3 linked regions of the Coturnix japonica genome follow. The protein of the gene in region 3 interacts with the protein of the main gene of each other region in a biochemical or structural test. Links are inferred from orthologs where the notes say so. Each region holds a gene or a part of one and is shown on either strand. Other genes may lie near its edges. The genes, in order: HOXA5, OTX2 and FOXA2.

Region 1 (3,744 bases), on a different chromosome or scaffold from region 3:
TCGAATAAAAATATTTGTAACAGCTTGGAGCTATACGGACATTAACACTTGACCACACATGCACAGTTAAGCAGGTTGAGTGCAACACATAACATTTGTACTAAACCGGGGCAGGGTTTCTTTCTCTCTTTCTCTCCCTTTTTTTTTTCCCTTTTTATTATTTTTTTTCTTTTTTTTCTTTTGCCTTTTTTTTTTTTTTGTAACAGTTACTTCAAGTAACACAGCTCGCTTCATATAAATAAGTTAAAACATCTATTATTTTTTTTTTCCAAGACAAAGCCATTCAAGACAAAGAAATGTACGATAAAAGCAGATCTACTTATACACGCGAGAGAATGGTAATAAACAGGCTCATGATTAAAAGATGAATAAGGGCGACAAGAACGGGGTTTCTTCACAGAAGTAACACAAGGAAGTTTCAGAAAGTCAACTTAGTACTGACATGAGACGCAGGGTCAGCTAATACTGCTCAGTACTTTTAATTGATCAAACGCTTAGGGACGGAATGCCCCCCCTGCAGCTGCCATGCTCATACTTTTCAGCTTATTATCCTTTTTCCATTTCATTCTCCTGTTTTGGAACCAGATCTTTATTTGTCTCTCTGAGAGGCAAAGAGCATGTGCTATTTCAATCCTTCTTCTGCGGGTCAGGTATCTATTGAAGTGAAATTCCTTTTCCAGCTCCAAGGTCTGATACCGGGTGTAAGCAGTCCGAGCCCTTTTCCCTTCTGGTCCCCCTATGTTGTCTGGAAGAGAAAAGTACAGCGTTTAGATTCCCAGCAGCGACCTGGAGCCCTCTTGTCTCCCTGCAGCTCCGAGCCACCAGGACCGTTATTCTCAGCCCAGCTCGGTTTTGTTGCTGGGCTGGAGAAATGCTCAACAAGTTTCCCCCTCCTGCCCCTTTAGAAAAGCCTTTGGGGGGAGGGGGACCTGGCGGCCGTGCTAAGTTTCCGCTCGGATTTCGGTTTCGTTCTTTCTACAAAAGAGATTTTAGCGCGTTTTCGAGGCGAATCCCCCTCTCTCTTCCCCAGGCTCGGCTCTGCGGAAGACGCCTGCGGTGCACGCCAGGCTCTCGGGGCCGCGGAGCGAGGCGGAGGCGCGCAGCCCGTTCCCACGGCGGAGCTCCGGGAGGCGGCGAACCCCCGGCTCTCCCCGGCGGGCCGGGCGCTGCAGGTAGCGGGGCCGGGGCTCTCCGCACCCCCCTCCGCCCGCTCCCTGCGGCCAGGGGGGTGCTCCCCCTCCTCCTCCCCGCGCCTTCCCGGCGGCGAGAGCTGCCCTCCTCGCCCCCTGCTATTCTCTTTTCGATTCGGCTCGGCTACGCAAATAGGGTCGGCAGCGCCGTTCCCGGCGGAGGGTCCCCCCGGAAGGGCAGAGCCGGCAGCGGGTCCCGCTCTGGGGAAGGCTCCCCGCCGCCCCACGCTCCCCGCGAGCCGGCCGGGAGCCGGGTCGGGGCCGGGCGCTGCCTATCTCCGGGGGGAGCTCCCGCTCAGGGAGCGGGGGCTGCGCTCTCCCACGCCCTCCTTCCTCTCCCCCCTCTCCCCGACCTTGCTCGGTGCGGACACCGGCTTTATATTCAATCCTGCTTTTCCTCCAGAGAAATAAAGAAAGAAGAGGGTATTTGCTTTACCATGACTTATGTGCAGCTTTCGCATCCAAGGGTAGATCTGGGGCTGGGAAGGCTGTGCTGTGCTTTGGTCGCTCGGGGCACTTGCCTGCTCGCTGCTCGCCGGAGTGTCTTCCTCGGTGCCGGACGAGGTGCCAACCCCGTCCCTGCTGATGTGCGTGCTGCTGCTGGAATTGGACGAAGTGCTGCTGGAGTTGCCCAGGGAGTTTTTCACCCCGTGGTGACTCTCGCTGACGGGCGAAGCGGCCACGGCGGTGCAGGGCAGGGGGTCGGGGGGAGGCGAGTGGGAAGCGGCCGCGGACTGGCTGTACCTGGGCTCTGTCGAGGCAGAGGTGCTGTTGGCCGGGTAAGTGCGGGCTCTCTCGCTGGCACCAAAGTGGGTGGAAGCGGAGCGCCCGACGCTGAGGTCCATGCCATTGTAGCCGTATCCGTACCTGCCGGAGTGCATGCTGGCGGAGTCCCTGTATTGCTCGCTCACCGAGCTGTGATCTCCATAATTATGTAACTGGTAGTCCGGGCCATTTGGATAGCGACCGCAAAATGAGTTTACAAAATAAGAGCTCATTTGTTTTTTGATATGTGTGCTTGATTTGTGGCTCTTGGTCGTTTTGTGCGTCTATAGCACCCTTGCACAATTTATGATGAATTATGGAAATGACTGGGACATGTACTTGGTTCCCTCCTACGTAGGCACCCAAATATGGGGTACGGCTTCAAATCACGTGCTTTTGTTGTCCAGTCGTAAATCCTGCCTGATGACCTCTAGAGGTAAACTCGTGCACTGGTGGGGGAGCTGGGAGGGCGCGGGCGGCCCGGGGCGCGCCGCCGCCGCGCGCATCCGCCACCGCCGCCTCCCGTCCGCCGGCTTCGAGCGCCACCCGCTGGCAAAGCGGGGGATAACGGAGAGGAGAGGGGTCGGCGCGGGGTGACGGCCCCCGACGGCGGCGGCGGAGGGAGCGGGGAGCGGGCGGGCGGCGGGGCAGCCCCGGGGTAGAGCCGGGAGCGCCGCTCCGGCTCCGCAGGGTGAGGCTCATGTGCCGCGATTGCCTCGAGCTCCGTGGCCGGTGGTGGAGGCGGTCACGTCCCTCGCACGATCCGCGTTATTATATGTATTTTGGGGTTTGTACCGTTTTTCCCGTGGCGGTTGTTTCGAGAGGCAGGCGGGTCCCGCCGTTCCGCCGTTGGCAGGTAGCTCTGAGGGATGAGAGCCGTGCGGCGCTTCCCGAGCTAGCGGGAGGATCGCAGGCGGTCGGTGTCGGTGCTACTTTTCTGCCTCCCAGCAAAAAAAAAGAGGAAACATAAATCCGATGGTGGCCATTTTGCAGTAGGATTTTGGAGCTCTGGCTTGGGAAATGTTGAGGAGCGGTAGCCCAAATTGCGCTGCCTCTCGAACAAAAGAGCCTCGGTGCGCACACGAGTGGGTTTGTGCACAGCCTCACAGCACATTCACACGCAAACAATACAACATATAGAGATAGAACGTATATATCAATCGCTGCGCTTCTGTTATTTATACAGACCCCGAAATGGAACCATGTTATTGCAGCTATTTCTCTTTAAAACATATTTTTTTCTCTCCTTTTTTTTTTTTTCCCCCTTTTTTTTTTTTTTTTCTCTTCCAGTGTTAGGAAATGCGGATGTAAATTAAGGTACCACAAAAGAGGGGAAGAATATCCCCGAGTTAATATGACCGACACTTCCCTTTTAGTTCAAAAGATGGGAAAGAAAACAAAAAAGAAAGATAGACAGATAGATAAAGAGAAAAGAAAGAAAGACGGACCCCAAATCCTTGAATCCCCGAGAAATGAAGTCCATAATTCAGTGCAGAGCTGAGCTCACTGAAATCTCAGTGCGAGCTCAACGGGAACCACAGAAATTCGCCCTTTCAAAGCCTCTCATCTCTCTCGCCCTAAAGTTTATCACCGAGCTCTTACTCGGTATCAGTAGTGCAGATTGGGGTCAGTTTAGTGGCATTTAGAAATCTCCCAGCAATTCATTTTCGCCTTATCCTCAAGCTTATACCCAGTTTTTTATACAACGATTTTTTTACAGTGATTTTTTTCTGCTTTTTTTTTCTATTTAAATATCTTCTACTCGTGTAAAACTTTTCCCCCCCTCCTC
Region 2 (3,744 bases), on a different chromosome or scaffold from region 3:
CGCGCACAGTGCGCGGTTCTGCGCCGCTTTCACCTCCCTGCCCTGGGGAGGGTGAAGCTTTCCCAAAGGAGGGGGGGGAAGCAGCTCCCGGGGGGTGCGTTAAACTGCAGAGCAACATTAATACGGGTGCAACGCTTGCAAACGAGCCAACGAACAACAACAATAACAACAGAAAACGCGGCCCTAAAATAATAATAATAATCAACAATAAATTCATTGCAATTAAAAACGCTCCGTCCCCGTGAACTCGGAGCCCCGCGGAGCCCCCGCGGCCGCGCAACGCCGCAGCCCGCGGAGCAACGGCTCCGCTCGGCAATCTGTCACCTTTCCCCCTCCTCCCCCCCGCTCTCCTACCAGTTGCTCTGCCCTCGCTCAATAATAATTACCCCGTCCGAGAATTAATTATAATAAATGTTTTCTTGATAAACTAACGAGATAATCCGGGCGGCACACGCTCCCTAATTACGGGCCGCCGGCCCCGGCCCCGCTGATGGATGCACGGAGGGGCCGTGAGCGCACACTGCGCCCCGGGCACCGCGGGGGTCGGGGGGAAGCTCCGGGGATTGGGGCGCAGAGCTGCGGGACGAAGGGGAATTGGGGCTGGGGTCGGCGAGAAAAAGCTCCCCTCGCACCCTGCCCGCATGATTTCCATCGCTTTGATTCATATTTCTTTATCTTATTTTCCGAAATGGAGGGGTTGGAAGGTTGATATCCCTCATCATAAATATATCCGCAACGGATGCGGTGTCTCATCCCGGCTCTGCCGAGCGGTTGCAGCTCCGGAGAACGAACGGGGCAGTCGGGAGCGACCTCAACTCGGGGCCGATGTCCCATTCCTGCCTCCACAATCGCATTTTTATAAGTGCGTTGTTAATTGAGTTGGGTTTTTTTCCTCTTCTTTCCTTTTCTTATTTTCTCTCTTTATATTTTTTCCTTCTGTTTCTTTCTTTCTTTCTTTCTTTCTTTCTTTCTTTCTTTCTTTCTTTCTTTCTTTCTTTCTTTCTTTCTTTCTTTCTTTCTTTCTTTNTCTTTCTTTCTTTCTTTCTTTCTTTCTTTCTTTCTTTCTTTCTTTCTTTCTTTCTTTCTTTCTTTCTTTCTTTCTTTCTCTCTTTCTCTCTTTCTCTCTCTCTTTCTCTCTTTTCTTTCTTTTCTCTCTTTCTCTCTTTCTCTCTTTCTCTCTTTCTTTCTCTCTCTTTCTTTCTCTCTTCCCCTCTTTCTTCTTTCTCTCTTCCCCTCTCTCTTCTCTCTCTCTCCCTTCCTTCTTTCTCCCCTCTCTTTTTCTTTCTTTCTTTCTCCTTCTTTATTCTTCTAACGAAACAAATAACAAATCCCAACTTCTCACAGCACCAGAACCCCGATCCGATCTCGGCCCCACGGAAGATTTTCTCCCTAACGAAACTTGGGCTCCTTCACAAGGACTTTCCCGACTTTCTCTTTGTCAGCGCGGTACTACTAAGGGGCAAGGAGCCTTTGGGAAACGCTTTCCCACGGCCAAATAATAATCATAATAATTAAAATAAATTAAACGGGGAGATACAAAACAGCCCCAGTCGCTCTTGGACCGGGATCTGTTCACCCCAATCCGTTTTGCCCGCATCGGGGTTCGTAGCCCCAAAGCCCCGAGGATGCCAACCCCCGCTGCTCTCAGCGCTGCTCCGCGGGTGCTCAGCGCACCTCGGCTAAATTACTTCGCGGAGTCTCCACGGCGAGATGAGCGGAGTTCCAGTCGGGGGTGGGGAAAAAAAGAAGAAAAAAAAGAGGAAAAAAGAAGAAGAAGAAGAAGAAGAAAAATATATATATTCCCGGTTCTTTCTCATTTTCCAAGTCCACCTTGGGGCCGGGGAAGAATGAAAGGCCAAAGGACCAAAGGACCAGGAGGGGGGGAATAATACGAAGCGAGGAAACGCGCGGCGAGCCCACGGTGGAAAGCGGGGCTTAAGGGCGAGCCGTGGGAATCGCCTGTCCCCCTCCTCCGCTCCCGCATTTGGGCCTTTGGGGAATGTTTCAGCCTTCGGGGCAGCCTCACTCCGCTCGGCCCGGCCCGGTCCGGCCTCCCCAGGGCAGCTCGGGGTATCCCCGGAGCAGCGAGCGGCACCGCCGCATCCCCGTATCCCGCACCCTTCTCTTCTGCCCTCAGCTCCCGGCGTAAAAGCACTTAAAACCAACATTAGTCATAATAAAATAAGCGTACTAATTTGCTATCACCACCCGCTTCCTCTCTCATCTTCGTTGTGTTTAGGAGCGGTGCCCCACGCGAGGTGCACCCACTTACCTGCGGGGCCGCGGGCAGGGCTGGGGGGCTCGGGGGGCAGAGCCGCCGGTCTGGTCCTCTCCAAATTCAGGGCTGGGGTTGAGCTGGGAGAGAGAAAAGCACAAAGCGGGAGGTTAGGGAGCGCGCCGCATGCACATGCCCACGACACTGAGGTTGAGGGGAGGGGTGGGGTGGGGGGAGAAAGGGGGAGAGGACAGAGAGAGAGGGGGGAAAAAAATGTTTGAAAAAGAAGAAGAAATAAGGGGGGAATAAATAGAAGGGGGGGGGGGGGGGGGAGAGAGGGGGCGGACGGTTGCGGAGAGGGATGCGGGGATGCTCGGGGGCTGCGCTCGGTACGTACAGCGCTGGCGGTGCCGGAGTTGGTCGAGTGATTTTATTTTTAATAATAGTGGCAGGGTGCGTTGGAGCTGAGGTCTCTACCTCTCTCGGGGAGCTTTGCTGAGAAAGCGCCTCTCTGGCAACTTTTTGACGCAAACTCTCCAACCAATGGCAGGGAGAGAGTGATTGACACATCTAAGCCAGGGGGAAAATAATAAAAACACACAACAGGGGGAGGAAAAAACAGGGCCGCTGCTGGACCGGGGGGACAATCAGGAGAGAAATAACAGCCGCCGAAATGACACGAGAATGTCCATTAAAAGGAGATGCTCGGTTTAAAAATATAACATTTGTGGATCGCAACGTGTGAAGTCATTGTGCAAGTGAATGTGATGGACTTTAAGCGGAGAGTGTTTAAGGAAGGAAAGAGGGGACTGTAGGAAGCTTATGGGGGCGGGAGGATAATAGAAACAACAAAAGGTATTAAAATATGGAAGTAAACGTTTTTTGAGGGGGTGGACTGGGACGTATGGCAGAGCCTTTGGCTTAGTGTGGGGCTGGAGGAGAGCAAAGAAGAGGGGAGATCCCACCTCTTGGGGTAATGGAGAGAGGTATAGGGGTGTCCCAGAGCCGGGACCCCCCCAGAGAGCACCCCCTGAGCAGAGCTGAGAGTGTTTGGGATGGGAGAGGGTGAGAGAAGGGGACCCGGTCTGTCCTGGGGGGCACAGGCATGTGTGTGAGTGTGTATAGGTGTAATATAAACATATGTATATGTACAGATAAATACAAGCAGTCATGAAATAAACAGGAATACACACACACAAAAAAAAACCCGCATACTCATACTAAAATACATGAATACACAGGATACATCTGAGATACAGCTCTGGATGGAGCCGCAGAACGAGACTTGCGCTGCGCCGCATTTTCAAAGCGGGATGCGTCAGAATTTTTACAGAAATAAACTCTGCTCAGTAAAGGAGTGGTGGGAGGAGGGCCAGGATCTGCGCAGCTCCCAGCTCGGGCCGAGGAAGCAATGTGACCGCGGAGCTGCGCGGAGCGGCAGCGCTTGGGAAGGGAGCGGAGCGCTCAGCCCCGCTTTGCGCGCACTTTCCTCTCTCGTGCCAAAACGCAGCGGCTTCGTCTTTTTCGTG
Region 3 (3,744 bases):
GAGCCCAAGTGGGTCTGTTTAAACAAGAAGAGGCTGAACATTTTCAATTTCGATCATCTGGGGTATTTAAAAAGATGTTTCTCTACAAGGCAAGACTATCTTCTTCACTGCTTCCTTCCCTCTTCTCTTAAGGTGTTGATTTTATTGGGCTGCCCAAGGGTAGCGGCATCACAGTTTGACTAGTGAAATAAGGGATGGGATGTGGAAGACCCCACGGGATGCCAACGGGGCTCACATTTAGGACCACACGGTGCTGGTACAGCGGGAAGACTCGGCCTTACCCATCACATATGATCGCTGGTGATGCTCCCAAGTGATGCACTGGAGGGTGACCTCCGCCGTCGGGGGGACCCCCGGGTACAGGCGGGGGACAGGCGGGGTGCCCCTCCACCCCCGGCCCTCCGGTACCGGGGACAGCAGGCGACAGGGGGCGCCGCGCCACCGCTCTTAGACCTCGGGACAGCCCTGCCCGGCCTCCCACCCCTCCACCCCACCCCCCCTTTTTTGGGGGCAAATCCCCCTTTTCCCGGCGCGTCCCCGCCCTGAGGGCAGCTCCCCTGGGGTCTCTCCCTTCTCCTCCAGCCAGCCCTCATCTCCCCTAAATATGGGCGGGAGGAGGCGGGCTGCTTCTATCCCCGCAGCTATCGCGATAGGAGCCAGTTTCGTTTGGAGACGGCTCCCGAAGGCGTTGGGGCGAAGGGAAAAGCCCTCCGGCGAAGCCCCCCGGCTGTTGGGTTTGTGTTAATGTTTAAAAGCTCCCGTTAACCTCGCCAAGCTGTGCTGGGGTTAATGCCGGGAGAGAACCCAAATAAATAACCGAGGGAAAAGGTCGGTGCCGCGCCGCCCCGCCTGGCGCCCGGGCAGGTAGGTACAGGGCGCACGGCACGGGGAGGGCGGCAGCTCCGTGTCCCCCACTGGGCGGGGGGGGAGGCAACACTGCGGGGCCGGGAGGTGTCGGACACCCCAGGGGGCTGCGCTTCCTCCCTGGAAGGAGGGAAGGAGAGAAGGAAGGAGGGAGGGACGGAGGCAGCCGCTCCCCGACGGCTACACTCGAGCAGCGTCCGTGGATCCGTCCGTGGGTGCGGAGCGACGCTTCCCCGACGGCGCCCATCGGGCCCCGCTCTGGCTGCGTGTTCCCCGACGGCGCTGAGCCCGGCCCCGCCGCGCTCCCCTCTCCCAGCTCCCGCCTTCCCCTGCCCTTCCTGTTTGTTTTAGTTACGAAATTGTTGTAGGTACCTGAGGCAGAGCCGCGGGAAGGCATGAGGCAGAGCCGGGCCACGGCCGGGAGGAAGGTGGCCTGAGGCTGAGCAGCCGCGGGGAGAAAGGTGAGTGTGGCTCGGGGGGCTGCGGCCGTCGGAGGGGGATCGGGGCACCGCTCTGTTTGGGCTTTGCGAGGGGACACCTTCCATCGGAGTGCGGCTGGAATGGGGGTCCCGTAGGAGCCCTCCTGTTGAGGGGGGGTGCGGGGGGAGACGCGGGGTGGTTCCGGGAGTCGCTCCGGGGTGCGGGTCGGGAGCCGCGGAGCAGCCGCTCCCGCCTAGGTGTGAGCTGATTATTCAAATGGGCAGCCGAGGACCTGGGGATTGGAGGCTCGCCTGGCCGCTCCGTGCTATATCACTCGGGCACCCACGTCACTGCAGCACTTGTACTCCTCTTCCTCCCTCCTCCTCTTCTTCCTCCCTCCTCCCTCCTCCCTCCTCCTCCTCCTCCTCCTCCTCCTCCTCCTCCGGCTCCTCCATCGCCTCCGGGCGACTCTTCACCGCGAAGCTCTGCGGAAACCCACCCAAGGAGCGGCGGCGAAAAAAAACCCCGGCCCCGGCGGTGCCCCCTCCCTTCCTCCCTCCCTCCTCTTCCTCCTCCTCCAGCGGCTCCGACGGAGGGAGCGCGGCAGAGGGGAGGGAGGGCTGGCGATTTTTTTTTTTTTTTGGGGGGGGGGATTGCTCTCTCTCTCTCTCTGCGTCGTCGTTTGTTGTGTCTGTTAAATTTTAAACTGCCATGCACTCCACTTCCAGTATGCTGGGAGCGGTGAAAATGGAAGGCCATGAGCACACGGACTGGAGCAACTACTACGGGGAGCCCGAGGTAAGGGGGTGGGGGGGGTGTTGGAAGCCGGGCGGCCCGATCCCCGCGCCGGGATACTGGGGGGAAACCTCAACTTTGTCGCTAAATATTCTCGAGGCGCTGAACTGCGGCTGGGGGACAGCGGGGGCGACGGGGGCAGCGGGGCCGCCCCCCCCAGCCCCCGGGAGAGAGCGGGGCTGCCGGGCAGCGAGTCGCGTTTTTTCCTTTCCCCCTACCCTCCCCCCCACCCCCCACCCGAGGTATTTTTCTCTCTTTGCTCGGGATTGTCTCTTTTCCTCCAGCTTGGATCCTCTGAGCTCGGTGAGATCCCGACTTTTTCAATATCTAAATTTGGGCTTTTTTCTTTCTTTCTTTTCTTTCTTTCGGTTTTTTTTTCTTTTTTTTTTTTTTCTTTTTTCTTTCTTTTTTTTTTTTTTTCCGTTAATGAGCGATTCAACACCCCCCATCTCCCGCCGATGCCCCCCGGGGGTTTAACCCTTCCCACCCCGCAGCTCCAGAGCTTCAGGAACTCCCTTGGGCTGGGCTGGGGGTGCCTTACTTGGGAACTGCTTTCATTTCCAATCCCCCCAAATCTCCCTTATCTTTCTCGTTTGTCTATGCAGAGCTACTCCTCGGTGAGCAACATGAACTCGGGGCTGGGCTCCATGAACACCATGAACACCTACATGACCATGTCGGCCATGAGCACCACAGCCAACATGACAGCAGCCACCTCCATGAACATGTCCTACGCCAACACGGGCATGAGCCCTTCACTCGCCGGCATGTCCCCAGGTGCGGGGGCCATGGCCGGCATGGGCTCGGCTGGCGTGGCAGGGATGGGTGCCCACCTGAGCCCCAGCATGAGCCCCATGGGAGGCCAAGCGGGCTCTATGAACGCCCTGGCCCCTTACACCAACATGAATTCTATGAGCCCCATCTATGGGCAATCCAACCTCAACCGCTCGCGGGACCCCAAGACGTACCGGCGGAGCTACACTCACGCCAAGCCCCCTTACTCCTACATCTCGCTCATCACCATGGCCATCCAGCAGTCACCCAACAAGATGCTGACCCTGAGCGAGATCTACCAGTGGATCATGGACCTCTTCCCCTTCTACCGCCAGAACCAACAGCGCTGGCAGAACAGCATCCGCCACTCACTTTCCTTCAACGACTGCTTCCTCAAGGTGCCCCGCTCCCCAGATAAGCCAGGCAAAGGCTCCTTCTGGACGCTGCACCCCGACTCGGGCAACATGTTTGAAAACGGCTGCTACCTGCGGCGCCAGAAACGCTTCAAGTGTGAGAAGCAGCTGGCGACCAAGGACGGCGGTGGGGGCAAGAAGGGGCCGGGGCAGCCCCCCAGCCAACCCCTAGGGGAGGGCAGCTCCTCGGGGGGCTCCGAGGGCTCAGCGGGTGCTGAGTCACCAGCGAGCGCCTCACCGTGCCGGGACCACAAGCGCGCCCTGGCCGAGCTGAAGGGTGCGGCGGCAGGGCCGAGCCCCGGGGAGCCATCAGCGGCCTCTCCAGCACAGCACCTGCTGGCCCCGCCACACGCCGGGCTTCCTCATGACGCCCACCTCAAGCCCGAGCACCACTACGCCTTCAACCACCCGTTCTCCATCAACAACCTGATGTCGTCCTCCGAGCAGCAGCACCACCACCACCCTCACCACCACCACC

The links.
Region 1: the proteins of FOXA2 (region 3) and HOXA5 form a complex in vitro, tested with the Homo sapiens proteins (2 studies listed by BioGRID). The link is inferred for Coturnix japonica from reciprocal best matches to the Homo sapiens genes FOXA2 and HOXA5.
Region 2: the proteins of FOXA2 (region 3) and OTX2 form a complex in vitro, tested with the Homo sapiens proteins (2 studies listed by BioGRID). The link is inferred for Coturnix japonica from reciprocal best matches to the Homo sapiens genes FOXA2 and OTX2.

What each region holds. Positions count from the first base shown.
Region 1 is NC_029517.1:29,863,434-29,867,177, forward strand, and holds the start of HOXA5 (homeobox protein Hox-A5), read right to left. Parts: upstream 2,393-3,744; 5' UTR 2,189-2,392; coding exon 1,627-2,188; intron 746-1,626; coding exon 495-745; 3' UTR 1-494. UniProt on the Homo sapiens protein: Sequence-specific transcription factor which is part of a developmental regulatory system that provides cells with specific positional identities on the anterior-posterior axis. Also binds to its own promoter.
Region 2 is NC_029520.1:50,710,210-50,713,953, reverse strand, and holds the start of OTX2 (homeobox protein OTX2), read right to left. Parts: upstream 2,743-3,744; 5' UTR 2,613-2,742; intron 2,356-2,612; 5' UTR 2,273-2,355; intron 1-2,272. UniProt on the Homo sapiens protein: Transcription factor probably involved in the development of the brain and the sense organs. Can bind to the bicoid/BCD target sequence (BTS): 5'-TCTAATCCC-3'.
Region 3 is NC_029518.1:4,401,561-4,405,304, reverse strand, and holds the start of FOXA2 (hepatocyte nuclear factor 3-beta), read left to right. Parts: upstream 1-1,505; 5' UTR 1,506-1,995; coding exon 1,996-2,082; intron 2,083-2,684; coding exon 2,685-3,744. UniProt on the Homo sapiens protein: Transcription factor that is involved in embryonic development, establishment of tissue-specific gene expression and regulation of gene expression in differentiated tissues.